Bombyx mori: one gene and its partners. The protein of the gene in region 6 purifies or fractionates together with the protein of the main gene of each other region. This does not show direct contact. Links are inferred from orthologs where the notes say so. Each region holds a gene or a part of one and is shown on either strand. Other genes may lie near its edges. The genes, in order: actin-like protein 6A, SWI/SNF-related matrix-associated actin-dependent regulator of chromatin subfamily B member 1-A, brahma-associated protein of 60 kDa, protein polybromo-1, SWI/SNF-related matrix-associated actin-dependent regulator of chromatin subfamily E member 1 and ATP-dependent helicase brm.

The links.
Region 1: the proteins of ATP-dependent helicase brm (region 6) and actin-like protein 6A purify together in Drosophila melanogaster (affinity purification with western blotting; 7 studies listed by BioGRID, with this or other methods). This does not show direct contact. The link is inferred for Bombyx mori from reciprocal best matches to the Drosophila melanogaster genes brm and Bap55.
Region 2: the proteins of ATP-dependent helicase brm (region 6) and SWI/SNF-related matrix-associated actin-dependent regulator of chromatin subfamily B member 1-A purify together in Drosophila melanogaster (affinity purification with western blotting; 7 studies listed by BioGRID, with this or other methods). This does not show direct contact. The link is inferred for Bombyx mori from reciprocal best matches to the Drosophila melanogaster genes brm and Snr1.
Region 3: the proteins of ATP-dependent helicase brm (region 6) and brahma-associated protein of 60 kDa purify together in Drosophila melanogaster (affinity purification with western blotting; 8 studies listed by BioGRID, with this or other methods). This does not show direct contact. The link is inferred for Bombyx mori from reciprocal best matches to the Drosophila melanogaster genes brm and Bap60.
Region 4: the proteins of ATP-dependent helicase brm (region 6) and protein polybromo-1 purify together in Drosophila melanogaster (affinity purification with western blotting; 3 studies listed by BioGRID, with this or other methods). This does not show direct contact. The link is inferred for Bombyx mori from reciprocal best matches to the Drosophila melanogaster genes brm and polybromo.
Region 5: the proteins of ATP-dependent helicase brm (region 6) and SWI/SNF-related matrix-associated actin-dependent regulator of chromatin subfamily E member 1 purify together in Drosophila melanogaster (affinity purification with western blotting; 6 studies listed by BioGRID, with this or other methods). This does not show direct contact. The link is inferred for Bombyx mori from reciprocal best matches to the Drosophila melanogaster genes brm and Bap111.

Annotation. Positions count from the first base shown.
Region 1 is NC_085108.1:7,028,087-7,033,718, reverse strand, and holds the start of actin-like protein 6A, read right to left. Parts: upstream 3,789-5,632; 5' UTR 3,650-3,788; coding exon 3,448-3,649; intron 1,851-3,447; coding exon 1,699-1,850; intron 1,101-1,698; coding exon 874-1,100; intron 21-873; coding exon 1-20.
Region 2 is NC_085122.1:12,050,674-12,056,535, forward strand, and holds the start of SWI/SNF-related matrix-associated actin-dependent regulator of chromatin subfamily B member 1-A, read right to left. Parts: upstream 3,331-5,862; 5' UTR 3,156-3,330; coding exon 3,075-3,155; intron 2,007-3,074; coding exon 1,816-2,006; intron 1,361-1,815; coding exon 1,198-1,360; intron 907-1,197; coding exon 759-906; intron 42-758; coding exon 1-41. Other genes in the region: putative tricarboxylate transport protein, mitochondrial, read left to right, coding at 4,681-4,879.
Region 3 is NC_085116.1:238,578-244,191, forward strand, and holds the start of brahma-associated protein of 60 kDa, read right to left. Parts: upstream 3,533-5,614; 5' UTR 3,330-3,532; coding exon 3,183-3,329; intron 1-3,182. UniProt on the Drosophila melanogaster protein: Involved in the recruitment and site-specific anchoring of the Brahma complex at specific promoter sites.
Region 4 is NC_085132.1:4,582,722-4,587,823, reverse strand, and holds part of protein polybromo-1, read left to right. Parts: intron 1-493; coding exon 494-633; intron 634-1,855; coding exon 1,856-1,958; coding exon of another isoform or gene 1,959-1,959; intron 1,960-2,507; coding exon 2,508-2,549; intron 2,550-3,491; coding exon of another isoform or gene 3,492-3,508; coding exon 3,509-3,692; intron 3,693-4,505; coding exon 4,506-4,597; intron 4,598-5,102.
Region 5 is NC_085120.1:6,515,286-6,520,387, forward strand, and holds part of SWI/SNF-related matrix-associated actin-dependent regulator of chromatin subfamily E member 1, read right to left. Parts: intron 4,710-5,102; coding exon 4,569-4,709; intron 3,917-4,568; coding exon 3,785-3,916; intron 2,694-3,784; coding exon 2,516-2,693; intron 1,591-2,515; coding exon 1,465-1,590; intron 1,082-1,464; coding exon 1,004-1,081; intron 350-1,003; coding exon 170-349; intron 1-169.
Region 6 is NC_085121.1:5,477,635-5,482,736, reverse strand, and holds part of ATP-dependent helicase brm, read right to left. Parts: intron 4,456-5,102; coding exon 4,200-4,455; intron 3,530-4,199; coding exon 3,446-3,529; intron 3,321-3,445; coding exon 3,232-3,320; intron 2,659-3,231; coding exon 2,520-2,658; intron 2,358-2,519; coding exon 2,168-2,357; intron 1,818-2,167; coding exon 1,679-1,817; intron 1,597-1,678; coding exon 1,422-1,596; intron 1,184-1,421; coding exon 1,076-1,183; intron 795-1,075; coding exon 674-794; intron 1-673. UniProt on the Drosophila melanogaster protein: Transcriptional regulator. Acts as a coactivator, assisting one or more dedicated transcriptional activators of ANTC and BXC homeotic gene clusters. Can counteract the repressive effect of Polycomb protein.

The DNA of each region.
Region 1 (5,632 bases), on a different chromosome or scaffold from region 6:
CCGCACTCACCAGCGCGTACCTGCGGGCGCGCGGTCCAAGTTACGCTCACGCAACAACCAGACTCGCAGTCCGACTCGCGCAACAATCGGACGCACGGTCCGAGTCACGCTCACGCAACACCCGGACGCGCGGTCCGAGTGATGTATGATCCGCGGCAGAAATACGACGGACAAGCGTGCGAGCTCACAATGCCTAACACCAATTAATTGATACACAAAAAATTCTCGGATTCTAATTTTCTTTTCACGATAATTTCTTTTCAATTCTACCGTGGAAATAGCCAGCAAGACACGGAACAATATACATGCATAGCGTGACATAAAATTATGTTTAATTACTCTATTAGATGGATATTTGGAATCACAACTTGAAAATATATTATTGGATTGCAATCTAAATGGTATGTGCACTCAGCAAACCCGTATTAATGTACATAGCTTTGGCTATTGAAAACAAAATTACAAATAAAAATTAATAATTACAAATAAAAATAAAATTAGGAGTACCAGAAAAACAAAAAAAAAAGATATGGTATCCTTAAAAGTAGACAACAATACCAAACCAACACAATCAATATATTGATAACTAGCCATTGTTAAATAGTTTTAATTAATTGATTTTTTTTCAAATTAATCAAAACACCCAATAGAATGCATCCATGATCAACCTATAAATTGTTTGACCCTGGATGACATCACACAGAGAAAAGTTGCTTGGGGTCAAGTCTTGTGGAGTGCGAGACAATTTTCTGTTTCGTATTTTTAAATGTCTTTATCCCTGGCTGTTGTCCATGAGTGACAGTGACCACATACCAACAGGATGATCCTAGTTTCGTTTTCCTTTCAAGACAACAAATAAGCGAAAAAATTCACCCATCGATAACAGGCACGGCTGATGTCTGTGTGGCTCCAGCGTCTATGACCAGAGCTGTAGATTTTCCATTTGCAAAGGCCACTAGGACAGCATTCTTGACCAGGAAGAAAGCTGGTGCTTGATACTTCTCGAATATGAGTTCGGCTAGCTTCTCCCTCACTGGCCGGGTGGCCCAGACTGCCTCAGTGAAGAGTACTGGATGGTGCTCTGATGGGGAGCGGATTACCTGCACAATCAAAAACCCTCATAACAAAACGAAATTTTATGTATGTTTGGCACCGGTCATGGGCTAATGAACTTAGGTCTTAAGTAATTTTTTACACATGCTTTTATTCGCTTGGGATGTATGTCCTGTTGTATGTAAAAAAAAACTTTGAATGTTGTTTCGACCAACTTCAAAATATCTGATTAATTTAAAAATTAGTGGATGCATTAAGGACCGGTGACCTAGTATTAATTTTATTACTATATATTTAATTAGACAAATATGAATCTGAAAGACATTAGGATTTACTGAATATACCTTGTCAGAGCATGGCATTGCCCTACTAAAACGTTGCAACAAAAGAAAAACCTAGAACTTAATTGAAGCACCATATCCAAAGAAGACTTGTGTCTCGAGGTGAGTGATGGCATTAACAACGTAGGTGTCTATGGGCTCCAGTATTGCTTAGATGGGTGGACAAGCTCACAGCCCACCTGGTGTTAAGTCGTTACTGGAGAAATAGGCAGGGCGGTGGTATCTACCCGCGCGGACTCACAAGAGGTCCTACCATCAGTTTGTTATTAATGATTAGTTAGTGTTCAGTGAAACAAAAAATTACCTTAGAATAACAATAATCAAGCATCTTCTCAAACAGATCCCAGTTGTCGACTTGTCCGTCTTTCATGTACGTCTGCACTTCCATTCCCGGACGCGGAACGTGGAGCTCTGTGACGTCTATGTAGTGTCGCAGCTCACTGCCCGTTTTACTGCCTGTTAAGGAAATAATAACATGTTATCTTGGGAATATAGAGCAGTGATTTCCCCTTGCCTTCTGCATCAGACATTAGACAGTATCCTTATTCTTCGGTTTCCTCAATACTGAAGATCACCTCCTTGCAAAAAGAATTTATTATGGACCATTCCACACCATTTACCTCTATCTGCCGCTGAGTGTAGAGCATCATGAGCTGTGGTGTTGAGGGTAGTGCGGATCTGGTCAGTCCCATGTGTCGGGCCTCTACCTCGTGGTCTTGTCACCATTAGCTTCTCCAAGCTGCCGTGATTCTTTATTGCAATGTTGCCAAAGTATTCCAGAAGTCTACGTAGGCAGACGGCAGAAAGCCTCGTCTTAGACAGTATAAAGAGGATAAATCATGGCAGTATACAGAAGGTCCACCTCACAGCAAACTGATCTTCATCGAAAGACTTCCATATCGGTGGTTGCATTCCCCAGTAATGAGGGAACAACGATGATAAAGAAAAAAAGGGAATAATTTTGACAACTGTTGATATTGCTCAATTCCAATTGTAATTTGTAAACAGATTTATAGTCTTAATGTTAAACACTTATTGAATTTAAAAATAAACTAGACCTCCAGTTCTGAAAATTGTCAAAATAAATACAGCAAACATTTATCAATTTGGTCAACTATGTTCAAAGAATATGATCACTGATTAAAAAAGATTTCAGTCCCAACTGTAACAGTAATTTAATGTTTGTTGCATAGAAATATTAGTATGAGTTTTTTTTTATTGCTTAGATGGGTGGACGAGCTCACAGCCCACCTGGTGTTAAATTTTTACTGGAGCCCTTAGACATCTATAACGTAAATGCACCACCCACCTTGAGATATTAGTTCTACAGTCTCAAGTATAGTTACAACGGCTACCCCACCCTTCAAACCAAAACGCATTACTGCTTCACAGCAGAAATATTCAAAAGGCCTGCTATTGATTATTGAAGAAAATACTTTTTTGTGGAAGTCTCACAGAATGTAGAGATCGTCACTAACCAAGGACTGTACCAGCCTTGAAACGTACATCAGTAAAAGTTGCTGATACATTTTGTAAATAATAATAGTACTAAAAATCTCAAAAATAGGCAATCCATTCTTATATATTTTTTTAAGTTTAATTATTTCATTTTGAATTAATAATATTTAATATCAATCATAGCCAATAGTGTCATGCTTTTGTATTGAATTTTGGATACATTTTTACAGATGGAGCTCTAAGGTGGATAACTAGCTTATATGCTTTTTTCTACATATCATACATGTATAAAATTGGATTCAGTTTCTTTGGCACAATTAAGTTACCAATTCTAATAAAACGCATGTTTGAAACGCGGGAATATCACACAAATCATGATCTTTTATTATTAATTATACAATTGATGAATTTTGTAAATTTTAAACACCAATAAATGAATGTTAGTTGGATATTTTATATAATATCTTAACAATTGAAAAGTTTTTTTTTCAATTTGTCAAAAACAATGAGTTTTGTGAAATGTATTCTGTTTGCAACCTCAAAAACAAGCTATAAACAACTACACTTCGGTGATGAACTTAATTTCAATACTCACCGGTTTGCGTGATGTTGCCATCAGGAACCTTTTCTTCGGAATTTGGGATGTGTGTAGCTGGTCCGACGCCCACAACTGCTGGTATATCAGCTTTTGGGGTATCCTCTTGTGCATAACCAACTCGCAACGAATGATGACCAGGATCAAAGACTAGTGCACCTATCTCGTCTCCCCCGTACAGCATGCCGTTCGGGCCACTCATAATATATTCTTTTATAATGCTATTGTAAAAATTTTATTTTCATTTAATTAAAAATAATAAACATACTATGTATTATTATCTATGAAATAAACGACAATGCCCAGCGCGTTTGTTGTTTCTTTTGACAGTTGTTTTTTTTATATATTTTGTCGCCTGGTAACGAGACCTTTAAGGGAGCCTTATTTTTTTTTAATTTGTTGTATGAAACATGAAATTAAGCGAATGAGATGAAGTTGATTATTTTGAGCATTTAATCGATTGAGATGAAATTAAATGAAACGAGATGATGTGGGATGAAATAAAGTCTCAGTAATTTGGTGGTTTTTTATTGAAACTTTTCAATATTTTCTAAATATTTTCAAAAAGTCCTTTGGCAGTTGAGTTTAGTTTTCAGGCAGACCAAAAATAGAATAAATGTATGAGTCACCTTAATTTTAATTATGTAGTAAAGCGGATATGTAGGGGACTAATATTTGAGTTCCTGTTCAATTTAGGACGTAACAAATGTAGTAGTAGTGGGATATGTTTTTATAATAAATCTTCCATTAAGGTAAAAATTCAAGAATAAGTACGGCTGAACGATGAAAAACAGTTAATAAGCAACAGCCACATATAATAACTAATATGAAACAATAAATTGTTGTTGTTAATGGGTTTTTAAGAATCGCAACTCTTCCCAAATAGGAATTTTTAATTTTTTTTTAAATAGGTAAGTATAAAAGAAATATGTATTAGAATCATTGTATGTTAAATCAACTCACAAAAATTAAAGAACAAGTAGATCAACATCTCATGACTTCAATGGCTTCCACAGTGAAGAATGATTGTGAAATAAAAATGAAACCCGAAAGTATTATAATTTGCCTAATCACCGGAGGTAGAGCATCTTGTGAGCCCACACTTAAAAAAAAATTGTTAAATATAATTTCATAATCACTAGCAACTTCGGGAGATTAGAACTTTGACCTTCCATCCTCACATTAAGATTCTGTGATGAAGAAGAGTCTACGATCGTACTGCGTTAAGTACAGGCTATTTGTCCATAGACTATAGAACGTCAAGCAGAATTAGCTCCATTAGTTTTGCCCTACTTATTCGCGGATAGCGTAAGACGTCCAGCTACTCGCAGACGGGTAGGTGAGCTCACGGGCTAGCAAAAGCGGTGCTTCGCAGAATCTACGAGCAGATCGCAATCGCGACCCACTGCGAAGGTCCGGAGAGAGACTCAGTGGGCATTCATTCGCAGTAAAGTGACACTTTATGGAACAAGCATTAGCCCCATCAAGACACATGCGAAGATGGTCTTTAGTCACGTAGCTAAGTATTTTTTTGGAATGGTAATATTACAGATAGTACAAAAACATAGACAGGACATATGGGCGACGCAAGGATTATATGACGAAGGGAAGATTCGCTACCAGCTACTGGAGCGCTCCCAGAGAAGGCCTCCTACGAGGTCCAATCAAAGCATGCTAATAAAAGACATCACATATAATTTGACACCACAGTTTATTAATTATGTTTTATGCGAAGTAATATTATTTTGGCTAAACATTCATTTTACATCGAACATGTAGTAGTATTAGAATATAAAATTATCAATTATTACTGCGATCACTACACACATAATACACGACAATTAGATCAATAATAAAACGTACATATTAAAAAAAAAGATTCACAAAATGTTATTAATAATTATGTTGTTTTTATCACAACGAGTACATAAGTAGGTACAAGAGATTCCAATTTGTTACACGCGATTACTTCCCCTCTTTTTTTAAAAGTCATAGACGATTTTGAAAGAGCATGAAAATCACGAATATTAACAGAAATATTTTTTTTATTTCTACATTTTACGTAGGATATAATTATTTCATTTGATAAAATTATAGAGACCAACGATTTACAATTATATTCGAAATTATTGATATGGACAATACTGATATACGGAAGTGTAAAACATAGAGTATCTAAAAAATA
Region 2 (5,862 bases), on a different chromosome or scaffold from region 6:
GCACAGCACCTCGGCAAACTGTTCTGGTGTTATTATTGATTCTGGAAAACAATCCTCCAATTTTTTATTTATTCAAAAACTTGTTAATAGGCTGCCTGCAATCCTTGTGAGAAAAAGCCTCAGACACAGCCCACTGAGTTTCTCGCCGGATCTTCTCAGTGGGTCGCGTTTCCGATCTGGTGGTAGATTCTGCGAAGCACACGGCTCTTGCTAGCGTTCGTGTTAACAACGTCATCACGTTTGAGCCCCGTGAGCTCACCTACTAGTTAAGGCAACGCTGATATAGCCTCTCAAGGCTATCAGCTTAGGCAGGAAAAAAAAGTGGGAACATACACATTATGGATATAAAAATTAAGGAGCGTATTCCTAAATTTATGTAAGGGTTGTGCTAAAAGAACAATATAGAATGAAAACGATAAAACATTAAAAATATTTTAACCAAATTTGCAGGGCGCATTGGAACTGTTCTGTGATCCAAGACAGTTGGACAAGGTCCTCCTGATCTTCAACACTTACTGCAGACCAACAATTTTCATTAAGCATGATTAAAGAACTTTATAAAGAATAGTTATAGTTAAAGATATAAGAAAATGTTATTATATATTTTCAATTGACAGTCGATACAATTCACAGTAAATACAGCCAATCTATTTATAATTTGGTAGACAGCAATTACACATTCTATTATTCAAATACTTTCTGAAATCAAAAATTGAGAATAAACAACCAGAATTGGTAACAAATGCAGTTAAACATACCATTTTTATTCCATGTAAATGTATCCCTGAGTTTTTGACCCTCAATCTCCATGTCCAATCGAATCGGTACAAGCACCTGCTTTTGCGAAGCATTCTCCAGCATTGCAGTCATGTCTGTGTCATCGAAACACAGTGGGAATGTTCTCACCTGAAAAGTATTCATTTTATGCTAGTTTTAATAATGATACTTTAGAACTATAGTATATTACATTAATTCCAATGTTCCATTTCAAAATCTGTTATTTATCTTACGATGTGTCTCTGATTTTGAGATATTCTATCTATCTTATCTATCTATCCTGAATCAGAAGCTAAATTAAATGTGTTGTGTTGACCTTAGAGTGTGGCCCCATGTCAAACATGATTAACTAGATAAACCTAGGAGTCAGAACCTGAAGCCCAACTGGACTTTAAGTTTTGACTTTAACATCCATTTTACCTTCTTATTATGCACCCTACTCCTGCTGATTGGAGTAGCCTGGGGTACAGCATCCAAATGAGAAGAGTTTGGCATGACTGGCAGCCATGATGGAGTGTGTGGCTTCTTGCTTTTGCTCTCACGGGGTGTCGCCAACTCTTGGCTGACGGACACTGCTTTGTATCTATAAATTAATTTAAAGCTGTGTCATAGCTGTAAATAGTTTAATGGACAACTGCTGTTTCATATACAATTCATAGTATTTAAGATTTCCTTGATATGCACACAGCAACTGACCAGAACCGATGGAGACTGGCACAGCTGAAACAGAGTCACAATCCTCAGCAATGAGGGAGCGATGAAGAAGAAAGATATGCACACATTTTGTTTTTTTTTTTATTGTCCTTAAAATAAGACAAACATACAATTCTTCTGATGGTAAGTGGTTAATGTCGTTCGTGGACTTCAATAGTGCCAGGTGCTCACCAAAACTTAAAGGTCTAATATTTCGACTGACTACTTCAGGTAGCTTCACTTATCATCAGATGGATTATGAACTCGTTCACCTGTCTATGCTAACACAGCAATTGTCGGTTTTAACCGCTTTCAATAGTTCACAAAATGTTTATAATGACGTACTTATCATCATTCCCTTCAATAATGTCTTCAACTTCTGACGCCTTCAACAGTGAAACTGAACTGGACAGCACATGAGGACCAAGACCGTTGTCAATTAATCGCTTACGTTCTTCATTGGTGAGGGTACGCCGGCACATGCCAGGGTACTTCTTGTAGAGTGACCCACGGAACAAGCGCAGGTAATTCCCGACCTAAGGCAATAGTTAATTTTTTTGCATTTTTAAGCGGGCATAAGACTAATCAAAATACAAAATCTGGAAATCTCAAGTTAAAACTGCTGTTTTCGACACCACAATATAATTTTGCATTGCTTTTAATTAAAACCACTGTTATTGTTTAATCATTTAAATTTTTTGTCATAACAATTTACAGTAGTTAGAACAGTGTTAATATGCCATGAAAAATGATAATGAAATGAATATAATAAATATGAAATTAGACCTTTTTTTATACAATTCAGAAACACTGAAGAAAATACATCATTGCTCATCTAAAAAAATAAGAGCAGAAACAGCATTGGGTGCCACAACTTGTTTTAATTTGCACTGCAAGCAATCACTGTCGTTTACTTATTCAATATAATTCATAATGGCGCTTTAGAAAGTTCTACTGTAGAATAGAAGATTATAGTGAGAAACTTCACATGAACACTGAATTATGCAACTAGATACAGAAAAAAGATAAAAAGTACAGTATGGTATCTTAAGCCAGTAGTTAAAATGGACTGGTAAACTTTCATGATTTGTATCTCTTTAACTAAAATCTTAGGTTTCTTAGCTAATGATGTTATTGTACATGTATATGTATTTGGGATTTTGTTAAATATGGATCTGTTTACTGGATTACTTACTCGATTATTGCTAAGAAAATGAGTTTTAAAGAATTGTCATTAAAGGGCAACATAATTATTACAGCTCAGTTTTGCCTTCTACAGAAATTCCTTAGTTATTTTATCTCCAAAATTTGTATTCCATTTTCATAAGGGTGATATAGACCTATTGTTCTATTTTTTATCTTATACTTTGATGGACAATAAACTATAGTCTGCTTTACAGTAATGGAAACCAAGCCTCATCGAAATAAGAATAATTCTAAAAGGCAAGTTTGTATAATAGACCAGATTGAGGTTAGGAACGATGTTCTTCGACAAAAGAAAGACTAGCTCCGTTAGTGAATGAAATAATTTTTAATAACGTATCTTTAAAATTATGTTTCGAGTAGTTCGATGTATTTTTAATCAAGAAATGTATGGAACTTACCTCTGAGCCAACACAATAAAAGTCTCCTCCTTCTTCGATTTGAAAACTTATCGGCTTATCGCCGTACGTACGTAAGGCCATTTTTGTAGTTGTGTTGTTCCTTTGATAAAATAATTACATTTACTTCAAGAATTGTAATGTTAATTTGGTAAGGGTAAAATTTATAAATCGTTTCTGTGAATATGTATATATGTATCCAATTATTTTTTTAATTTTATGACCTGGTAACGTACACCTTTAAGTCATATATTATTTTGGAAAGCTACTGGACGTAACTTCTTGGGATTCACCCAAAAGTCCACTGAAAAAATCTCAGTGAATGACCATCATTTTACTGAGATTATATTTCATCCCGTCTCATCTTATTTCCTTTAATTTCATCCCAGTTGATCCCTTTAATATATGTCTCAAATATTAATTTAAATTAATTTGAGACATTCTTGACATCTTCATTTCATTTCATTTCATTTCACTCCATATTATCAGTTTTCATAAAAATAAGAATATAAATTATAATAAGATATAAATTAGAATAAGAAGATTAAAATAAGATAATGACTTAAAGGTCTAGGCTACCAAGTCATAAAATAAAAAAACATTTTATTTGATTTTTTTTAAGAGATTTTATGACCTGGTATCTAAGACCTTTAAGTCATGTCTTATTTTACTTTATATTCTTAATTTTATGAAAAATGATAATATGGAGTGAAATGAAATGAAGATGATTAATTTGAGACATTAATCAACTGGGATGAAATTTAATGAAATGAGATGATATGGGATGAAATACAATCGTAGTAAAATGGTGGTCATTTACTGAGATTTTTTCAATGGACTTTTTGGAGGGACCCGAGAAGTTACGTCCAGCAGCTTTGTTTCATTTTCCCACATTTGTGCACTTTCACAGATATTAAACAGTTAATAAACCACCGTTATTACACATTTAAACCTGAAGAAACACTAAATAGACAAAATAAAACAAATCACACAACTTCACTCCTCGCGTTCCCGCCAAAAAGTCCTATTTTAATTGATTTTTTTTTTTTTAAGAGATTTTATGACCTGGTAACTAAGACCTTTAAGTCATGTCTTATTTTACTTTATAGTCTTAATTTTATGAAAAATGATAATATGGAGTGAAATGAAATGAAGATGATTAATTTGAGACATTAATCAACTGGGATGAATTTAATGAAATGAGATGATATGGGATGAAATATAATCGCAGTAAAATGGTGGTCATTTACTGAGATTTTTTCAGTGGACTTTTTGGAGGAACCCGAGAAGTTACGTCCAGCAGCTTTGTTTCATTTTCCCACATTTGTGCACTTTCACAGATATTAAACAGTTAATAAACCACCGTTATTACACATTTAAACCTGAAGAAACACTAAATAGACAAAATAAAACAAATCACACAACTTCACTCCTCGCGTTCCCGCCAAAAAGTAATTTAGTTCATAGACTATACACAAACACATATTGTTAGCATAGAGTATGATTGTATATAACTAATATAACCTAAATTTTTAGTCTGAAATTAAATGTCGTAGGGGAGTGTCGTCGCAGTCGTTGCGAATTTCAAAAGTGCTCGAAAAAAGAGACCATGTCTTCACGGCAAGGAACATTCAAAAACCCATTCTCCAGACCGTGGATGTCGGAGACAGGTGCAGCGGCTGCGGCTGGTGGTTCGGGTTCAGTAGGCTTAAAGGGAGTTGTAGCCGGCGGAATTACAGGAGGCATTGAAATTTGTATTACATTCCCAACAGAATATGTAAAAACACAACTGCAATTGGATGAAAAAGGTAAATAAAGCACGCCACAATTATCCGAACTAAGTTAGTTAACTAATTGGTGTTTTTCAATTCATAAATTCATTCAAATTTTATTTTTGTCTTATGATTTTGTATATACGTCATACGTAATTTTCCTGCTGTAGCGTAAATCTGTAGTTGAATAATTATGAATAAAGGGTTCTTTAGCACAGGAATTCAAGTTGTAACTAATCAACGTCTTTTTTAACCTTAAAATTTAAAACCAAAGGTTTCCATTACAAGTACATTTTACTGTGTAAACAACTGGAAATGGACTTTGTTCTTTTTTCTAATATCTTCAAGGTTATTCTAAATTAGCATTGAATTTCTTCTGCCTTAACTACGATATAGGTATACTACTACTACTTAATCGATTATTATTTATTAGTTACTTAAATACTTAAATCATGTTTTGAAAGGAATATTTTACAAATGAGAAAATAATTGCTTAGATTGAAGTTGCAAAGTATTCAGTATCAAATTAACTAACAAGTTCTATTACCAAAAGTAAAAGTTTTTCCTAATTTTTTCTCTTTTTAAACCAACTTCAAAAAAAAAGAGGTTCTCAATTTGATTGTTTTATAAATGTTATGTCATAACTTTATTCCGAGTGAACCGATTGTCTTATTTGAAAGCTGTATTATGTGGTCACATTTAAATTTTCTCAAGATCTGATCAGCAGTTTTTAAGCTATCCCCAATAATGCATATTTAATTGATTTTGACTATATGAATTATTATTATATCATCATGATATTTTGTTAATGTAAAATGTACAAAAGAAAACTGTCACCATCTTTCAAAAACGAGCATCATATTTGATGATTTTATGGTGGTGCCCCCATTTAATTTGGTGATGTTTTAATGAAGATCTACAGTCAAATACAATCTCTATACTATCTACATACAATCTTTCTCAATATATATACAATCTCTATACAATCACAAATATCTATGGTGATATGATATCTATCT
Region 3 (5,614 bases), on a different chromosome or scaffold from region 6:
AGCAAGATCGGCTTATCAGTAGTTACGACGTAGCTGAAAAACTGGGAATTGACCACAAAACAGGTTTGGCGCATTTGAAAAAAAACTGGGTACACGAAAAAGCTTGATATTTCGGCAAAGGCCGGTCAGGCTTAACAGACTGTGGCGAAACACGGTGTAGCTCGCAACAAGGTAATGCATTTTGTGTGGTGGGATTGGAAGGGCATTATTCATTATGAGTTGTTACCACAAGGCAGGACCATCGATTCTAAGCTCTACTGCGAACAACTGAAGAGATTAAAGCAAGAAGTAGAGAGAAAGCGGCCGGAATTCGTCAACAGAAGGGCTGTGGTTTTTTATCATGATAACGCTAGACCTCACACATCTTTAGCCACTCAGCAAAAATTAAGAGAGCTTGGAGATGTTAATGCTTCTGCCGTATGGTCTTGACCTTGCACCTTCCGATTTCCACCTGTTTCGGTCTCTTCAGAACTCTTTAGGCCAAAACCAATTGTCGCGGTATTTTGATCAGAAGCCCCAAAATTTCTATAGCAATGGGATCATGTCCCTACCTACAAGTTGGCAAAAAGTTATCGAACAAACTGGTACCTACATACTTTAGTTAAATGTAAATAAATTATATTATGAAATGTTGTGAATTTTCTTAAAACATGCGAAGAAACTTTTTCCCCAACCTATTATTTTGAGTCACAGGTTATTAAAATCGCTACAAAAAAGGTGACTGTAATTCTGGCCTAAGTCAAGTACCACAACTACTCAAACTAGCTACATAACTTAAACAACAGGTCCAAGAATTTAAGTTTTTTCAATTGCTTGTAGTAAAATCTGGATAGACTTATTGTTGTAATGGAAGAAAATAGGTAATGGAATTACATGAAACACAACCTGACGCATAATGTGAAACCACATCCAGTATTTTGAAGACTACAATGAAGTTGCTCAAATCAATCAGAATTAATCTATATCTACTTATAAAATACAATCATAACTAGTCTCAGAACTGTATTCAGTGAACTAGTAATATGAACTTCAGACAATGCATACAATCTTGACTTTATTTATGGAAAAGTACTTATATTTAACATTATGTGTATTCTATAATACTGAGATGTTACTTTAAGGAAGATTTTTGTTTTGAGTTTGTTCTTTTTTTTTTGTTTTGTTGTTGTTGTTTGTTATTCTTTTGTTAATGCACCTACCATGCATTATCTCTGCACCATCCTATGGTCGACTGGAAGAGAATGCCTATGGCATCAAATCCGCCTGTGTACAACTTTTGTTTTGTGCATAAAATATAAATAATTAAAGGAAAAAAAAATTGTATATGAAGTTAAATGATATGCCCACAATAATAATGATAATCATCTTCATTTCTACATAATTCGTACTGTCAAAAGAGCACATTTAATGTTATGAAGATCATTTAAGTGAAGTCTGGGGATAACAAATAAATCTTGAAACAACTTTCAAGTCTATAAGGGGACCTTACTAAGTTTTAAACAACAATTTTACAATTTTAAATCATCCATCACGATTCAATGAGGGAAACTCTTCCATTTGTATTACAGGCGAATAAGGGACACAAGATCTCTTGACTTCGACTCATAAGAAACCCAAGTAACTTGTTTTTGAATCATTCCTAATCCATACAATTATTTGGAAATGGCTTGGAGACTAATTTCTAAAGCTCAAGCGAGCTGATATCCCATTTGGCACGGATCCTTCTCGAGAAAGATCCTCCCGTTCAGCATCTTTGAAAGTTTTTGTTTTTTCTTCACGTAGGCTGTTGTGAGCTTGAAATCCCTGAATCTTTGAAGTGATGAAGCTAATCACCTCACATTATTTGGCTCAGAGCAAGGTCTTTGTAAAGTTATTGGAACTCTCGTTGTGCTTCAGCTGCCGTTTTCTTTCAATGAATGAACCCACTTCAGCAACACTTCAGCATGATAGAGCACACTTACTTTTTTACTTACTTACTTATTTTATTTTGTTAAATACAATAGAACTTTGATAGCTTAAACCTCAACAACATAATAACCTCTGTTAATTCATAATATTTTGTATTCCCTTCCCCTCAGTCCTAAACCTCTTCTAATTAAAATATGAAACATCTATAACTAAAACTAATAATTTCGGTGTCACACCTCAGTATCTCAAAGCTGTAGCTACGATGACCTTTGTAACTTCAATCTTACCTATGTCCATGTCATGAGTCATTGTAGATGAATGTGCAAACAGAAATGGTTCCCTGTATGTTAGGGTACATGTAGGGAATGTGAACATAAGAAAAAAAATATACCATTATTCATGGTGCTCAGAGTGATGATATGATTTAAATGACGAGCCACAAGATCCACCTGTGATTATATCTATAAGCGAAGCAAGGCCAGCTGTAAACGCTTTATGATTTTTACAGATCAATTCTTTAACACAGAGGATGACATTTTCTCCTCTTTATTTAATATTGAAAATAAAATTAATTTAAAGAGTGAATTAAATGAAATAACGAAAACAACTTTATACATAGTAATATAAATTAAAACAACTTATATAGAATAAAACAAACTTTAGTAAAAGTTTAACCTAACTTTTAGCCTTTAACCGTAAAATAATGTATGTATGTACATATGTATTAACATTTCAAAGTTACATTTGCATTTAACCTAGCTATCTCTATAAATCCTAAACAAAGCTCATAAACGAACCTCTGTAAGTAAAACCTCAATAACTCAAAATATTTAACATTTCCATTGGTCTTTAACTTATAGAGGATCTACTGTACTTGAAGTTATCAAATTTTTGTAGCAAAATTTTAATGTCACATCAAACGGTGTGGGTTTTACCACAAATTACCCACATAGGGTAATTTTAAAATAAAGTGAACATTACTTCAATAGTGATTAAATAATCGAATAATTTATTGAGTATTGTACTACAAACTACGTTACTAATAATGTCGCTGCCTACCCGTGGACGGTGAAAACCCAGTCTCAGTATTTTGTTTAGAGAATATAGTTGCCATTGGAATGTCAAAAACATGCACCAGTGACCTTTTTTTCTTATTTCGAAGCTTCTGTGCAAAGTTTGTTGCAGTATGTAAACCATTGTAAAACAATAGTTGTTTAAATAGAGCAACAAATTTTGCACATACCTAAGTTTTGACATTTGACTGGGACACTCACTGGAAAGTTAGGTCCTGGGTAGGGTCGGGGTGGTAGCGGCGAGGCAGACGGCGGCTGCGGCCCTGCGTATCTTTGTTGGGGCGGTAAATTTCCTGGAGTACCACCGGGAGATCCACCTGGACCACTTACTGGGAAACGCTGAGCCATTTTTTGTTAATTTAACCACAAGGTAACATTTACAATCTCAACTCATACACTGATTCATATAAAAATTCGTGAAGATATTGATTATTCGTATTGTTTTATATGTAAGAAGACAGATAAATTGAGACGAACACAAATAGTTAAAAGATGTTTGAAGAAACAAAATATCTGGCGCAGCGTCACAGTATAGATAAATTAGGCAAAAGAAACATAATCCATACAGCCAGAGTATTTGTAACCAAGTCCGAAATAAAGTTAAATTTTTTGGAAGTCAGATATTATTATGTTATTAATGAAATGATGAATGAATATTAATGAATTTCCTGAATAAACTAATTAACTTTTTAAAAGAGCCTAAGAAGAAAGGTTTAACTATTTTGTTTAATTTTCTCATAGTTGCACAACTATGAGAAAACTAATACTTTCACAGATGTTAAACGTTAAAAAATCATGAGTAAGCTTAAGTTGTTGAATTAACAAAAAAACGACGCAGTGTTTCTAAGTAAATAGTCTAGGTGGACTTCACGGTGGTGCTTTTGCAAACTTACGGTCGCAATGATGAAACGCGGGGTCTAAGACGCCTTCTGCCAACCCGACCTATCTAGGATTTAATTTCTAATTGAGTGTTGGAGTCAAATGTAGGTGAATGAGCTCACAGTCCACCTGGTACTAAGTGGTTAAGTGGGTGGCGCATTTATGTTGTAGATGTCTACAACATACATGCGCCACCCACCTTGAGATATAAGTTCTGAGGTATCAGTATAGTTATAACGGCTGCCCCACCCTTCAATCCGCAACGCATTACTGCTTCACGGCAGAAATAGGCAGGGTGGTGGTACCTACCCGTGCGGACTTACATGAGGTCCTACCACCAGTAAAGGTTGTTTACAATCAGCAGGAAATTTTACGCAGATGCTATGATATTAAAAGAAAGTTTTTTTTATGATTGTGGAAGTACTGGTGGCCCGGAGACATTTCCAGTTTCACAAGGACAGGTGGGCGAGCAATGTATCAGCCCGAAAGGACGGAATTTGCTAACAGCTACTTGAGCGCCTCTAAGGGAGACCTAAAAACTCAAAAGTAGCTACTGCTTCGCGAATGAATCTACTACCGGATCGGAATCGCGACCCGCTGAGAAGATCCGGCGAGAAACTCAACGGGCTGATGTTTAGGTTGCACGTCGAACTCTTTGCCGAATTCGACGTGTACGGTTATCGGAGTCTCTACCCCTAGTGTTAGAGCACAAGGCGTCTAATGCAAGGGTTATTGGATCCGATGGATCCGTAAGGACGTGTAAAAGAGGTAGGTATTATGGGTGCCACTTTTTAATATAACAACGCCAACTGTGATAGTAGGCAATATTAGAAGTCTTCACTATTTCTGTCGCAAAGAAGTCATACGTTCCGGTTTGAATCTTAGGTCACCCTCTATATTATACGATTTTGCAATTAAGTCTTACACTTCATGTTTCAAGGCACACATCGTGGGAGGAAGTATTAACATTTTGACGCGTACTAGCTTCAGTAAACACTCCTGCTTGAGTGAGCGATGCATCCGCGTGACAGCTGCTATACAATAATACATTTACATGTTTTCGTCAAGTATGAAGTTCAGTGAAAAGAATTGGCGAGCGACTGAAGAGATATTCCGCCGGGAACCGTGCTTTCTGGTCGCTCGCTAAGGCTGCAGAAGGTAACTTCTGCAGTTCTAGTCTCCCATCACTACGCAAGTCCGATAAGCAGAAGGTAAATTCAGCAGGTCTAGTCTCCCATCACTACGCAAGTCCGACAGTCTGGCCCATAGTGCGAAACAGAAGGCTGATCCTCTGGTCAAACTCTTCGCCTCGAACTCGACTATGGATGACGGGGGTGCCACACCACCGAACATCCTCCAGTGTGATAGCTCTTTGCCGGAGATCTGCTTTACACAGTGTGCAGTCAGGCGGGAGCTCTGGGCCCTGGACGTCCATAAGTCGAGAGGGCCAGACTGCATTCCTGCAGTGGTTTTGAAAACGTGCACCCCTGAGTTGACACCTGCGCTAACGCGTTTGTATCGCCTCTCGTATAGTACTAACAGGGTTCCGTCTTCATGGAAGACTGCCTATGTCCACCCTATCCCCAAGAAGGGTGACCGGTCGGACCCATCGAGTTATAGGCCTATCGCGATAACTTCCTTGCTTTCCAAGGTGATGGAGCGAATAATCAACATACAACTCCTGAAGTATATAGAGGATCGCCAGCTGATCAGCGACCGACAGTACGGCTTCCGTCACGGTCGCTCAGATGGCG
Region 4 (5,102 bases), on a different chromosome or scaffold from region 6:
AGCAAAATTAATAAAAATATACAGGATTTTTCATTCGTGCTTGATTCGGAGGAACTGTTCTATTTTTGATTTCGCGTGTGACAAATAATTGTAAACGTTAAAGATTGTTTGTTTGTTTGTTACGATTTTACGTTTCGAGTTGTTAACCAATATGAAATTTAGTTATATACTTCAAGTCTTGTCATGGTCATTTAGAAAGAAAAAAAACTAATCTAGACGGTTAATTTTCTTTTCTAAATTAGCGCGAACTAATTAATGTATGCCGCATTTAAAATTTAGTAGATAGCATTGTATATTAAAAACAATTTTTCGTTACGTAGTTTTGAAAAAAAAAAACGATTAATAATATGAACCGTGACATAATTTCTCTCGTTAATTTTTTACGCTCCCCCGAACCGGACCGCAGAAAGAGAAGGCACGAGAAAGATTATGTCGCGCAACCCTAACACGAAGGTACGTCTGGGCTAAGGCTCGCTTTGAATGATTCCGCCAGGCGACATATCGCGCATCGTGGGCAACGAGTGGCGCTCGCTGCCCGCCGCCACCAAGCAGAGCTGGGAGGAGCGAGCCGCGCGCTGCAACGAGGAGACCGCCGCCAGGCTCGCCGACGAGATGCGCGAGTTGGCGCAACACGTTAGTGCCCAAACAACCGCCAAACAGCGACCCAAATACCTTTTGCATCGTCCTCTAACGACAAGAAATGCCATTCTACAATCATATCTATTTCGAAGTGAAACTTCTTTAGGATCGTTGCGATTTCAAACTCGATGAAACGAAAAAATAAGTCCATAGAGACACAAACACATAAATGTATAGGATTCAGCCGGCGAGAGAATGAGATAGAACACATTAGATGTTGTCGGTCTCCTCTTTTTGCGACTCTTCGTAGTATCCCCACTATCGTCTACTAAACATTGTCCATATGTATGCTCCTGTGTAGTGGGATAGTCAGTCACACACTTTTTTTCCTACCTATTCTAGAAACCTCGAGGAGTTATTCTAGATTCACAGTGGGCTATGTCTATGGGTTAATTTACTCATCGAGCCCTTCGTTGCAAGCGACGGGTTCGGCGAGGACGGTGACCCGTACTTGAAGTATCTAAAAGCACCGTTACTGGATCGGGAGGATCCGTAATGACGTGCTTAGGGCGACGTCGACTGTTTACCATTCGGTCCACAGGATCGGGTATGATCATATCAATGATGACGAATCTCGATGACTATAACATTGGCCCCGAATCGGCGGTACTGAGTAAACACAACCCTGTTGAAACTGGAAAGGCACCCGGGCTACAAGTGATCCATGTCTTAAAAAAAAAACAAAAAAAAACCGTGCACGTGAATGAAGTGAAACTTCTTTTTTGATGTGTAGTAATGTGGTTTTCATCCTTAAATCAGATTGCTCTTGTAATAGAGAAGGCTGTGTATAAAAGATACGTCATCTTCAACACTTATATTATATATATTTTAAATTATAGATAGAAAAATAAATATATATATTTTTAAATACTTCATTAAAATATTGGACGCTACTCGTTGTAACAGGAATACTATGCGCTTGCGCTCGAGTGACACGCATTCACTCTCGCTCTGTCTCTTTCTATTCCATGGCAGAGTTAAACGTTTAACGCAACCTTGTTGGAAGTCACATTAGAAGTTTCACTTAAAAAAAAAAGTAAGCACACTCCCGGAACGTGCATGATTCTTATAACAGACAGACCACTGTAGAGGTTTTCAAGCTCGCACCTTAACACTTGATTGTCAAAGAAGAACCAGTCATAAAATGGTCAGCGTTATGCAATATACTTTAATGAAAACATAGACATTAATTTAGTGAATGTATTAATATTTTTAGACAACAATGGAGATGACGTACGAATGCGCCTGGGACACGTGCGACTGTCAGTTCGAGGACCTGACCGACTGCATGGAGCACTGCATCGGCGACGGAGGAAACAGTAAATATCTTTACATTTTACACATTTCATTTGGAAGCTTTGAAAAGTGCTTAGGCTTAAAAAAAAACACTTCTAAGAAATTCGAGTAGATTCTTCTCGAAATATCATGTCTATTCATTACAGTCATTCCGTCAAGTAAATTAAGGGATTTTAAAATTAATAGGAAGTAATTTAGACTTTGATCTCCCATCACAAGGCGAAACAAATGATATAATTTTTGAAGTTATACTTCTACACATATACAAAATTATTTCATATAATTCATACTAAATATTATTAAATTATTAACGTTAAATATTTATTATTAATCATTGAATATTTAAAAAAAAAAAGAAATAATTTTAATAAAAATGAAGTATAACTTCTTACATAAGCACACGCACCCTTTTTTTTTTGTTTGTTTCTATGCTACTCACTCTGTTTGTATTGTATGTCTTAAATTCAGTATTAAAAGTTTATTTTATTCTCTGACTCAACTTGCGTTCTCGTATGGGAGCTAGATAGACTTTTGCTAATGTGTTTTTTGTTCGTACTTTAAAACGCTGCCAGTGATCGGAACGTATCTAGAACCGAAAAGACCTAAACTAGAGCGTAAGTATCAAGTTGAAATCGTTGGAACGGTGATACTCAACTACACAACTCTAAAAATGTGCAGCTAAATTTTATAAATGAGTCGTCTATTATCAAAGGTGGCAATCTGTGCATTTGGACAAAAAAATGTTATTGATATGTCAATACAGATTGATTTGAATATAATCGTCTCCTTCAAAGAATACGGTTCAAAATCTGCATTAAATAAAGGTTAATAGTTAACCTGTTATTTATCTAAGATGTCGTTCGGAAGAGTTTTGTGACTACCAATGGAATACAAAGTCAATAATTCGTTTTTCTGATTTACCAATAATTGTCCAAAAGTCACATTGCCGGCTTTGATAATAGTCGACTCAAATTTGCTTAGAAAAAATTAGTTTTTATTTTATTACGAGCAAAGTTTAGATTAATTAATAGTACCTAATCAGAATAACGTCGTTGTCAAACCAAAATCTGCTATGTGTAAAAACTCTATTTTGAATTAACGAGTAAAAAAAACATTTTCGTATGAAATTTTTATATGAAGGTGAATTTTTATGAACTCTATCAAATGAAAGCTATAGATGAAGTATTAAAGCTATAGACACATAACAGTTTTTCTTATACGGTAGACAGGGCTGTGAACTATACGAAAAGTGCACATAGCAGATTTTGGCTTACAACGACGATATGTTAAAATTTTAAATAGTACAATATATAATAACAAAATCCTTTTTTTGTGTCGATCAAAACAACTTCAACGTAATTTATTTAAAGTTTAAAGTAATTTGTAACATACGGGACTGCATTGAAAACATTCGACAAATATTCGACGATTAACGTGCAAACGAAAACAGTAGTATTTATTACGTATGAAGTCGTCGAAATTTGTCGATGATTCGGTGCGGCCCCGGGGCCCGAGTGCGGCGTTGTTAATGAACGTCCACAATGTGGTCCGCCGGGAACATGCGTGAACGCAGCGGGGCACATCCAGCAACACTACCGCGGCTCGTTCAGCGAGTACCCCTGTCTGTGGCGGAACTGCGCGCGCGTGCGCAAGGGGCAGGCGCCCTTCCCCAACCTGCCGCGCCTGCTGCGACACGTGCGCGACCTGCACGTCAACAAGGGCAACGGACGACTCATGGCCGTGCATGAACGCTCCAGGTACGCACGCACGCACACACGCACGAGCACGCGCGCGCGCACACAAACAAACAAACACACACACACACATGCACTCACACACATGCACACACACACGCACATATATCGAGAGGCGAAAGTCTATTTAGTTAAAGCAACATTTCGCTTCATCATCAGCCTGTATCTCTCCACTGCTCGGTGTGAGCCTCTCCCATAGTCTGCAACTAAATTTTTATTATGATATTTTAAACTTTAAATGGCTCCCCTGTGAAGTTGCTAAAAGGTCGCTTAAAGCACCTTTCTAGCTTTTCACCCCTCGATATATACCACCGCAATGTCCGGCCTTAGATTTAGCTTCACGTTCTTAACGCAGCGTTTGCGTGATCGCGTCCACAAACTTCAGAAGCTTTTGATCATCCAAAATTTTTATCTTTGATTCATTATTTATCATGTTATTATTATTATTATGATTTTATACAGTGAACCCGCAATGTACCGAGAAGTTGTCAGTCTCGTAGAACATTTTCGTTCAAGCTGGCGCAATATGTTTTGATGAAGATGAATAAATAAACCGGACCTCACGGACAAGCTGTTACACAAACAAAATCAGTTTTCACTTTCGATTTTTGAACAGATTTTCAATTTTTTTTTACTATAACACATTTGGGAACATTTTTTTTTAATGAACCTTACAATAAAAACTGTAAGTAACAAAGCAAGTAAAACGAAAGTATATCTTAGATGCCAGTGATTACGGTCGAACTTCGATGACAAAGCAAATATGTACCGCTTACAAAAAAAAACTTATAATAAATTAATAATTTTTTGATTTAGGAATTTCATGCTGTCATCGAAGAAGCCGCGGCCGGCGGTGCGGAGCGGCGTCATGTCCCCCGGAGGTACAAATAGCAGTAGTAATAGCCAAGGTTCGCATGCTGACGTACTAACAAACGGGACCGGCGCTCCACGCACACTAACCGAACAGTGTGCTTAGTGCGAGCTTTTTAACGTTCTCGATAGCGTAAAAGTTAACTCAGATTTGTATGGAGCTAGAACAGCGCCCCTAGCGGCAAACATAGGCAAACTGGTGGTAGGACCTCTTGTGAGTCCGCGCGTGTAGGTACCACCACCTTGCCTATTTCTGCCGTGAAGCAGTAATTTCGGTTCGAATGGCGGGGCAGCCGTTGTAACTATACTTGAGACCTTACAACTGATATCTCAAGGTGGGTGGCGTATTTACGTCGTAGATGTCTATGGGCTCCAGTAACCACTTAACATCAGGTGGGCTGTGAACTCGTCCACCTATATAAGCAATAAAAAAACAACGTTCCTACGTCGAAAACGTTAAAAAACTCGCACTAAGCACACAGTAAACAACTATTAGACCAGGGCTGTCCAAACTACATACCTTTGCGGGCTAATGAAATTTAA
Region 5 (5,102 bases), on a different chromosome or scaffold from region 6:
GTGCCGCAGTATTATTGATCACTTTTCTATGTTACCTTTTGGTTTAGATGTATATTTATCCGTTTATTGACGTCATGGCAGAAAGTTATCATGATCTCCTCTAACCATAGTCCGCTCGATGTCACTAGGGCATCTCGTGTATTCGACGCCTACCTGGTACAGTACTCACGTTTGACGTCGTGATGCTGTGGAGGCGCGTGGTGCGGTAGATGCGCGTAGTGTTCGGGCGGGGCGGCGGCGGGGTAGTATGGGTGCGGCGGGTGTGGGGGGTGCGGGGGGTAGGCACCGGGGAACCCGCCCCCGTACCCGCCGTAGTACCGGCCGCCGTACGGGGCGCCGTACGCCCCCACTGCGCGTACATTTCATACTTATTGTGATAACACGACTCCGATTACACCAGTCTTAGTGTGGCTCACAACGTTCTTTATCTGAGATTTTAACCTAGCATCCGACCGATCTTGTGTGATTTTCTATTAAATGAAATATCCTTCAGTTTTTTAGAAAAAAATGAGTGCCCACTATTAGTCGTCCATAATACTGACATATCTATTTTATTTGTATAATATTTTTAATAAAACATAGATACAAGGCATATTAATTAGTAAATCACTGAAAACTATTATAGATTATTTGGTTCATCGAGCAAACCTAAATTTTAAATTAATGTTTCTATGAACATTACGAATACTCATGATATTTGTTGTCTCTTGTATCTACGAAATTTGTATAGCACCATTGGTTTCTTAAGAACAATTCAGATTAGCTTTTCCATTGCATACCGTTAAGACAAACGACCATCATCATGAAGCATGTTTTATGAACCACAGCTGTGACTCCAGAGTGCTACCCGCAATATATTTGTGCGCATTAAAACTCCCTTATAAATGTGAATACCATATTTACACCGTGATGATAGAAAGACGTGAGAATGGACAGCGACCAAAGTGCTCGATTGATGTGAGAATATGTTAGTCACGAGTGAGTTTATAGTACAATATGGCACCTGTTGGCGGTGGAGGACCCCCGTGAGCTGGCGGGCCAGGATGCGGAGCAGTTGTAGGATTCGACGCCATCATCATTGCTGTATTAAACGTATAGTTATTAATAATATAAAAATGAATTTCTGTCCGCTAGTCTCGCTAAAACTCGAGATCAGCTGGACCGATTTGGCTAATTTTGGTCTTGAATTATTTGTGGAAGTCCAGAGAAGGTTTAAAAGGTGAATAAACATGAAAATGCTCGGAATTATATTAAAACAAACATTTTGTTTTTGCTTCCATGTGTCCCCGTCTGACAGTTTCCTTTTGTTTTTTTTTAAGTTTATTTTATACAAAAGCTTAGGTCTTTTATTTATCAATTGAGGCACTACGAAGTCTGCCGGATCAGCTAGTAGTTAATAACAAAATCAGTGGTTTAACAATAGAACATCAACATTTTCGAGTTTTTCGTGTGAAAATTAGTTACCGTGGTGTGGAGGCGAGGTCATGTGCGGAGGGTGCGCGGGCGGGGGATGCTGCGGGGCGGGAGCGGGTGGAATGCTTTCCTTGTTCTCCATTTTTACCTCTACTGGTTTTTCTTCTTTACGATCTCCTGCACATAAAAAATACTTTACATTTTTTAATCACTCCCTACCCCGTCCTTAACCAAGTATCTCAATGTTTTTGAAACAAAAAAATATTGGTACTCTACAGTAGTCAAATGTCGTGGAATATTGGGTGTATGTGTGACTGTGTGTGTGTGAACTCAATATTTAAACAATTTATTACAATTTAAATGTCATCAAAACATATGATTGCTGAATGTCAAAGATAAAAGGTCTTATCACTAGGATAGTCCTGGGAAGATTCGGCCAAAAAACACTGCGCGATAATTGGTGGTAAAGTTATGACAATAGAAAGTACTTGTAAAGACCTATCTATACTAATATTATAAAGAGGAAAGATTTGTTTGTTTGTTTGTTTCGAATAGGCTCCGAAACTACTGGACCGATTTGAAAAATTCTTTTTCCATTAGAAGCCGACATTGTCCCTGATGAACATAGGCTACTTTTTTTTATTTTTTTTTTAATATTTTTTTTGGTTTCATGTGTGTTTTAATGTTTCCGAAGCGAAGCGAGGGCGGGTCGCTAGTCTTGAATATAAACACTTCGAATTTGATTTACAATATTCCATCAATCATTTTTTTTAAAGTACCATAACTCATTTTTTTGTTTTTCTCTTTTACAAGGACATTTACATTTTTTTATAAAAATTACAAATAAAATATTAAACGAAACAGTTTGGAACAGAATCCTGCCTACATCATACTGTATGATAAATAATTATTGACTTAATAATTTAAAATTTTACACACTATGTTTAGTTAATAACTGAACATCTTGTAGGATCTTGTAGTATAAAAGCCCCCTAAAAGTTTCAATTATTTTGTGTATTCTTAAACTAATATTACATGTTGTGCGGTGTCGATCTGTAACAGTATTTAGTATAGTTTCTTATTATTATGTTTTCAGTCTCACCCTCGTCATCTGCCTGGCTTGGTCCATTTTCAGGTTCCTTTTCTCTTGGCTCCTCGACTTTTATGTCAGTTGCTATGGAATCAGGCTTCACGTCACTGGTAGACACTTTATCCACTTGAGTGGGAGGATGAGGTCCGTTTGTTTCTGGTTTACTTGGATTTTGATCTTGGTCCATCGGCTGTGTATCAATTTTATTTATTTATTATTCTTTAACAAATAAGACATAGTTTTATATTTATTTACATTGTTGCAAATGTTGTAAAATGATGGGTACCACCTCTCTATGGGGATCTATTTTACATTGTTTTTTGAGTTAACAAAGACAAGTTTTTAATAATTTTTTTATTGCCTTTGCATGCAGTGAGCATACGGCCCACCTGATGGTAAGCGGTTACCATCCCTAATGGACGTCAGCAATGTCAGGGGCAGAGCCAAGCCTTTGCTTAAAAATAAAATAAAAAATACATTAAAATAAAATAAAAAATACATTAAAATAAAATTTAAAAATGTTGGATAATAATGTATGTTCTAAAGTCCTTTTGGCAAATAATATTATTTGGTAAATCAGTAGACTTTGCAGGGAAAAATGTTTGTTGTATATTATACTTATTACATATATTTCCGTGAAGCATGTTCAGTCGATAGGTATTTTGAAAGCGATAGTACATTATCTCTTTTTCAAAACACTGATTGATATATAATAATTTATTTTATTTTATATGTATTTCTTATCTATGTATTTATTTATTTTGGAAAAGTAATTATAAATATTTATTTTCACTCATGTCTACTAGTGCTTTAAATTATCGCTATGTATTAACTTTATCACAGCTATGCACTTCTTGAATCTTTCACTTCATCTTTTTTTTTTCCTACCTAAGCAGATAGCCTTGAGAGGCTATATCAGCGGAACCTTAACTAGTGGTGAGCTCACGGGGCTCAAACCTGACGACGTTGCTAACACGAACCCTAGCAAGAGCCGTGCTTCGCAGAATCTACCACCGGATCGGAAACCCGAACCACTAAGAAGATCCGGCGAGAAACTCAGTGGGCTGTGTCTGAGGGTTAATTTACTCGTCGAACCCGAACACGTCGCGACGGGTTCGACGAGAACGGTGAGCGGTGCTTGGGGTACCTAAAAGCACCTCACTTCATCAACGAGGGTTAACTGGAAGAGAATGCCTGTCTGCCGTTAAGTTCGCCTTTGTATAATGTTTTTGTGCAATAAAGATTTTTCAATCGATCAATCAATTTTCGAATGAAGCATACCTCGTCTTTCTTCTCGGCGTGAGCGACGGCGCTGAGCGACTGCGAGGTGGGGTTGATCCCGCGACGCATCTGCTCCAGAGCTCGCTCCACCATGCGCTGGAATGTGTCCTCGTCCACAGCCGGCCTGCAGTGCTGGAAAAAATATTAACATTATTTCATTTTCCAAAACTAAAATGAATACCGGAGCATTTAATAAATTCACATTAAATAAGACAAAATTACTAGTTTCCTTTTTTTTTTATTGCTTTGACGTGTGGACGAGCTCACAGCCCACCTGGTGTTAAGTGGTTACTGGAGCCCATAAACATCTAAAACGTAAATTCGCCACAAGCTTTGAGATATAAGTTCTAAGGTCTCAAGTATAGTTACAACGGCTGCCCCTCCCTTCAAGCCGAAACGCATTACTGCTTCGTGGCAGAAATAAGCAGGGCAGCGGTAACTAGCCGTGCGGACTCACAAGAGATCCTACCATCAGTAAAAAACTACTTTTTACTATTTTTTAATAACTAGCTAACATGGGTAAGTGCTTACACGCTGATATTATCAATGGACGTAGACATGGAGGTCAAACTTTCAAACTGTCCCAACCCCACAAACTGGGAAAGATTACAAAATTACTTCGGAGACTGCATAATGGTAACAGTTCATACTTGCTTAGATTTCCATTAGGGACTTTAAGAATGGTATATGGGATAATACTTAAGTACTATAATATCTAAGTGATGCTTGAAAAATTTAAACATACATAATGATAAAATCGATTTTTGAAATAAATCCTAGGTACCTTCTTGAGTTCCTCTTGGAATGCTTCGCTGCTCTCAATAAACTTGCGTTTCTTGGCTTCGAACTTCTCTTCAATCTGTTGCAATTCATCTTCCAGCTTCTTCTGGTGCATCGTTAAGGACTGCACTTGTTTTTTCAATATCTGTGAGTCATAATTTAGTTATTGTGATATGTTTTTTCATTTATACGTAGCAATTTTTTTATTTATTGCTTAGATGGATGGACGAGCTCACAGCCCACCTGGTGTTAAGTGGTTACTGGATTCCATAGTCATTCACAACGTAAATGCGCCACCACCTTGAGATACAAGATCTAAGGTCTCAAGTATAGTTACAATATAGCTATATTTTATTACATTTATACTCATATGTTACAATACAATGAAGTATTCCAAGCTACTCTCTAAGTCTCTGACACTACAAGAAGGCACATATCAAAATAAGCTTTTACACTTTGAATGAACTTTAAAATTAATTTAATCTTGGTATAAACAGCATTTGTTGACAAACTTATTGTTGGATTTTGTTTTTAAGAG
Region 6 (5,102 bases):
ATATTACTATTATAAATAGGATTGAATTTAGTATATAAAATTTTGCTTGTAGAAGACAATTTTTTTGTGAAGTTGACCACTGTGACCACACACAGCTTACATACCTAAGATATTTAGTTTTTTATTGTAACATAATTAGTAGCTAATGCTTGCGGATAAATACACGTGGAAGGACAGATTGAACGTCCGTAAGGTTAGGTACCTACCACCTATTCAGTTTCATTACACAGTGTATTCCTCGATCAATACATTCTTTCGTGAGCAAGTACCTATGTATATCTTTTAAAATGGGTACTTGTCTGCGGGATTTCAATGCCAATATAGTAGCATCACTTGATACGAGTACACCAGACATCATCACATCTGTGGTACCAACTATGGTTTTGTTGCAGTGAAATGATACCACTAATTACAATTTTATATTTAATTAAAGAGCGATCAAATAGAAATGTTAATAGCGGACCACCAGCGTATGTTTTGTCTCGAACTCAACCGAATTAAAAAACATTTTGGGAGTACCGACGAATATTATATATAGTGCGATGCTCCAGCGCAGGGCCGTACTCAGCGCAGGGCCGCACTCAGACTCGCTACAGCACTCCCCTCCGAGATCGCTACATATATTTTAGGCCACAACAATGAACATAATAAATACTATAAAATAATATCATACCATCATCGTCTTGGCTGTCGTCACCAGAATCATCGGAATCAGACATTACTTCCCATCCAGGGTGTGTCTCCATCCAATCCTTTAATTGAGACAGCAGCGGCGCATCTTCGCCCTTCAGTATCTACGAAGTATTCAATGGAAAATTAAGTCTGTTCAAGAGAAGTTGTAATATTAAACATATTATAATTTTTACTGGTTGTTTACAATTTATTCTTCTCTTAAATATTTCATATATTAGTGTTTCTCATTAAATAGGTGAACAAATTATGTTTTTAGTACAAGTTTGTTTGGGTGTAACTTCTTTAAAACAATTGTAAGATTGTAAAATTGTTTTATAAAACAATTGTAAGCTTAGCATTTATAAAATGAAATATGACGGGAGATTTAAAATGATATTTTTACTTCGCCAGACTTAGGATCCACGACGCTGACTCTTGAGTCTGAAGTCTGGGAGCTGTCATCCAAAGCGTCAATCTCTCCACCTTCCAGCAACTTCTTCTTTCTTGATTTCTGCAATTACAAGCAAAATTTTACTAAAGAAAATACTTATTTGTCTATAGTTTCTTGATATATAACCTATAGTTTCAATATACACATTTTTTTTTATTGTCCTAGTAGGCAGATGAGCATACGGCCCACCTGATGGTGAATGGTTACCGTCGCCCATGGACCTCAGCAATGCCAAGGGCAAAGCCAAGCCGCTGCCTACCGCTTACATTAGAAGATAATAGTATAAAAAAGTAATTACCCTCTTCCTCCGTTCCTCTTCTTGTTGTTTTTTACGTTGCTCTTGCTTGTGCTGCTTGACCATCTCGGTAAGGCTGGCTATATACTCATCAGTCTGTGACAATAAGAACGCCAATCTTTTGTCTTTCTTTTGATCGATCAGTTTACGGTAACCTTCTTCGTCTTCTGCCATTAACCTGTTATGACAAAAAGTGTTTAAATAGGCATGTTTCGGAAATTTGTAATCACTTATTTGTATGTCTTAGTTAAAATACTAACCGCCGCATGCGCTCTTTTTCTATGCGTTCCTGTTCTTTCTTCTGTTCTCGTTCGGCGTTAGCGTGATAGTTCATGATTGATTTATTGATGCGTGCTGTTTTAGCTAGGTTGTTACGGTGATATTCCTTGAAATCCTTAACTACAATACAATAGTGTTCAAAATTAATAATTAATTATTTTATTTAGAATACTATTTTAAATATCGACTCTCGTCATCGTAACGAGATAAAAAAAAAACTTTTTTTTAGTACAACTATAAGTAATAGGCTGATAAAAGATCGATTTTAAGAAAATAAACGTAGGTACATTACAAATCTCACTAAAATACATAAACTCCTAAATAAAATGAATCTTAAATGTGGACACAAACATACATTTATTTTTTTATTTAACTACGAAATGAAACCCTACAAATTTAGATGCAACTCATAGAACATAAATAGTTACAAACTGTATAGTACTATTATAACAATGTAATAAAACATTTACCGTGCTGAAGAACTGTTTGTAGGAATTCTTGGTGCTTCTGTCGTCGTTTCCTCTCGGCCTCCAGTTTTTGTTGTTTCTCAAGTTTCTCAGTGGCTCGGGCCTCTCGCAAACCTTGTCGTTTAGTGCGCTTATAGGCCTTTATGTTTACAGCGGTCTCTAGGGTTGTATCACGGCGGACTTGACCTAATATCTAGAACAATTTTGATCAAAATTAAAGGCACACTATTAAAGGCGAATATCAACGTTTTTTTCTGTGTTTGCACGCTACTACAATATAATCAAGGTTTTCTTATCACACTTATAAGACACTGTGAGGCGGATGTACGGGAAATTACAATGAAGTAAAACACACCTCTGAACGCAATTGCTTTTGGAAATTAATCACTCGGAGTGCTCTGAGCTCGATTTGAGCTTGTAACCGAAGGTCGTCAGGCATATTGGCGGGTAGGTTTGATAATATTTCTATACGATGAGCTATTCGTGCTGCAATCCTGAAAATTTTAATTATTTATTTATTTATTACACTTCATGTAAAATTTACATTGGCGAACTTAATGCTTAAGTCATTCTCTACCAGTCAACCAAAGGTAGTGCAGAGTAAATAGTGGTAGGTGCAATGAAATTTATATTAAGCTACAAATACATACACAAAACATATATATACACACAATGACATATACATACATACATACATATAATAGTCGTTCACGTCACGATCACGACTTGACGTGACGAACAACGATCACGTTTGTTGCATCTACTATTGTGTGTACCATTTCGATGCCTCCAATGAAGACTACGCTAACTCCAAATTCGTAGATTTACAGGAGGAGCATTTAAACGAAAAAAGTTGATAAAATCTTTATTATTGCAGATATATTTATGGTTTTTTTTGTGTAGCTAGCTGATTTACTCTTGCTTCGAACCCCATTAATAATGATTAATTGTAATACTTTTAACATAGTGAAGCGATTTGCGTGAAAAACGAAAATTTCAAAATTTTGAGTTAGAGTAGTGTTCATTGGAGGCATCGATTTGTAATAAGTTTCTTGCTTTCATGTTACCTGTTTTCTCTTTCGTTCAATATCTGCACGGGGTCGATTCCGACAGGTTTGGGCATGGTGGTCACACGATTTTGTTTGGCTCCAGGTAGCTAGACAAAAGATTTTTATCTCAAGTAATTTCACCATGGGCATTACGATACGAATGTGAAGTAATTTTGACGTGAGTTACAGAAGTAAAATAGTCTGCTCATGGAGAATTATAAATAAAACTCACCTGCTGCGTTTGTGGAGTCCCGGGAGCTCCAGGAGCCGAGGGACGCAATGGCGCGGGGCCACGAAGCGGCACTCCACCCACCGGCTACGACAGATATATCATAATTAGATTGTATTACGTTTGTTTATCTATACTAATATTATAAAGCTGAAGGGTTTGTTTGTTTGAGCGCGCTAATCTCAGGAACGACTGGTCTGATTTGAAAAATTATTTCAGTGTTAGATAGCCCATTTATCGAGGAAGGCTATAGACTATATAACATCACGCTAAGACCAATGCAAGCGGAGCACCAATAAAGGGGTTTTTTCCCTTTTGAGAGCTTCCACTGCTTGCGCTGCGGAAACGGTTAAAGTTTCGCTAAAATAATGTCTGAAAAAATTGTTCCCCTTTAAAAGATCTAAAAAAAGTCCGCGACAGCATATTATGTCTATATATTAAGATTGGCTCACTATAGCGTTTTTTATGCATCATTTTTTACATAGATAAAAAAATATGGTCGAATTAATAACTTCCTCTTTTGAAATCGGTTAAAAAGCATGATTTTGGTACCTTAAATAGCTAGCTCCTTAACATTCTATTATTCAAAAATATTTTCACTTTCTACGTAAATGAAGAGACGGGTAATATTTAGCGTTATGCCAAAGTAACTATTCCACGCGGACGAAGTCGCGGACAAAAGCTAGTATTTATTTATAATAAAAAAATATTTTCCATTCCAGAATTCAAGTGATGAAACATGAATATAATTACTTACCGGATTAACAAGGGGGGGCGTGTGCTGTGTAGGTGGAGCCATTTGTCCAGTCATGGGCAGCGGGGTGGGAGGCGCGCCGCCGTGCGCAGCGGGAGGCTTGCCCGCCGCGCCCTGCGCCTCGCCGTACGCGCCGCTCGCGGGCGGGGTCGGACACTCCGGAGGACTCTCGCCGGTACGTTTGCCCGTAGCTAAGGCGGCCACTTGCGGCGGCAAGGGTTGATTTCTGGCGAGATTCCGATACGCCGAAATCTGTGCTCTGCGACCAACCAAATTATTATGATTGAAAGCATATTACTTAACAAATAGTTCAACTAAATCAATTCGTTGGGATGAATCAAACTCAATCAATATTTAACTATTATCACTACATAGTATAAAACAAAGTCGCTTCATCTGTCCCTATATCCTATGTATGATGATCTTTAAAACTACGCAACGAATTTTGATTTTGAAGAAGAAGGTTTATATGTATATCATCCATTAAATAGTGGAGAAATCAATAATAAATTACAGTTTCCGAAACGAAGCGAGGGCGGGTCGCTAGTTTTTGTATAATATCAATACTTTATTTAAATGGTATTTAATAATCGAAGTCGGATTAGTGCTTTTTAAAAACAAAATTTTCGATATGCTTTTTGTAATATAAATTCAGCCAGCGCTTTTCCGTATTCAGGTTCTTCAAGCACCGGTCACTGTCCTCGTCAACTCGTCGATTAAGACTAACTAGAACTAACCCCTAGACACAGCACACTGAGTTTCTCGCTTGATCTCTCAGTGGGTCGCGACTTCGATCCAGTGGTAGATTCTCTCTAATCTTTTTTAGTTGGCGGAATAGATCCCGGTTTAACTATGGCCTGAACCCATAGATATCTCCACATGAATGCTGCCACTCATCCTAAGCGA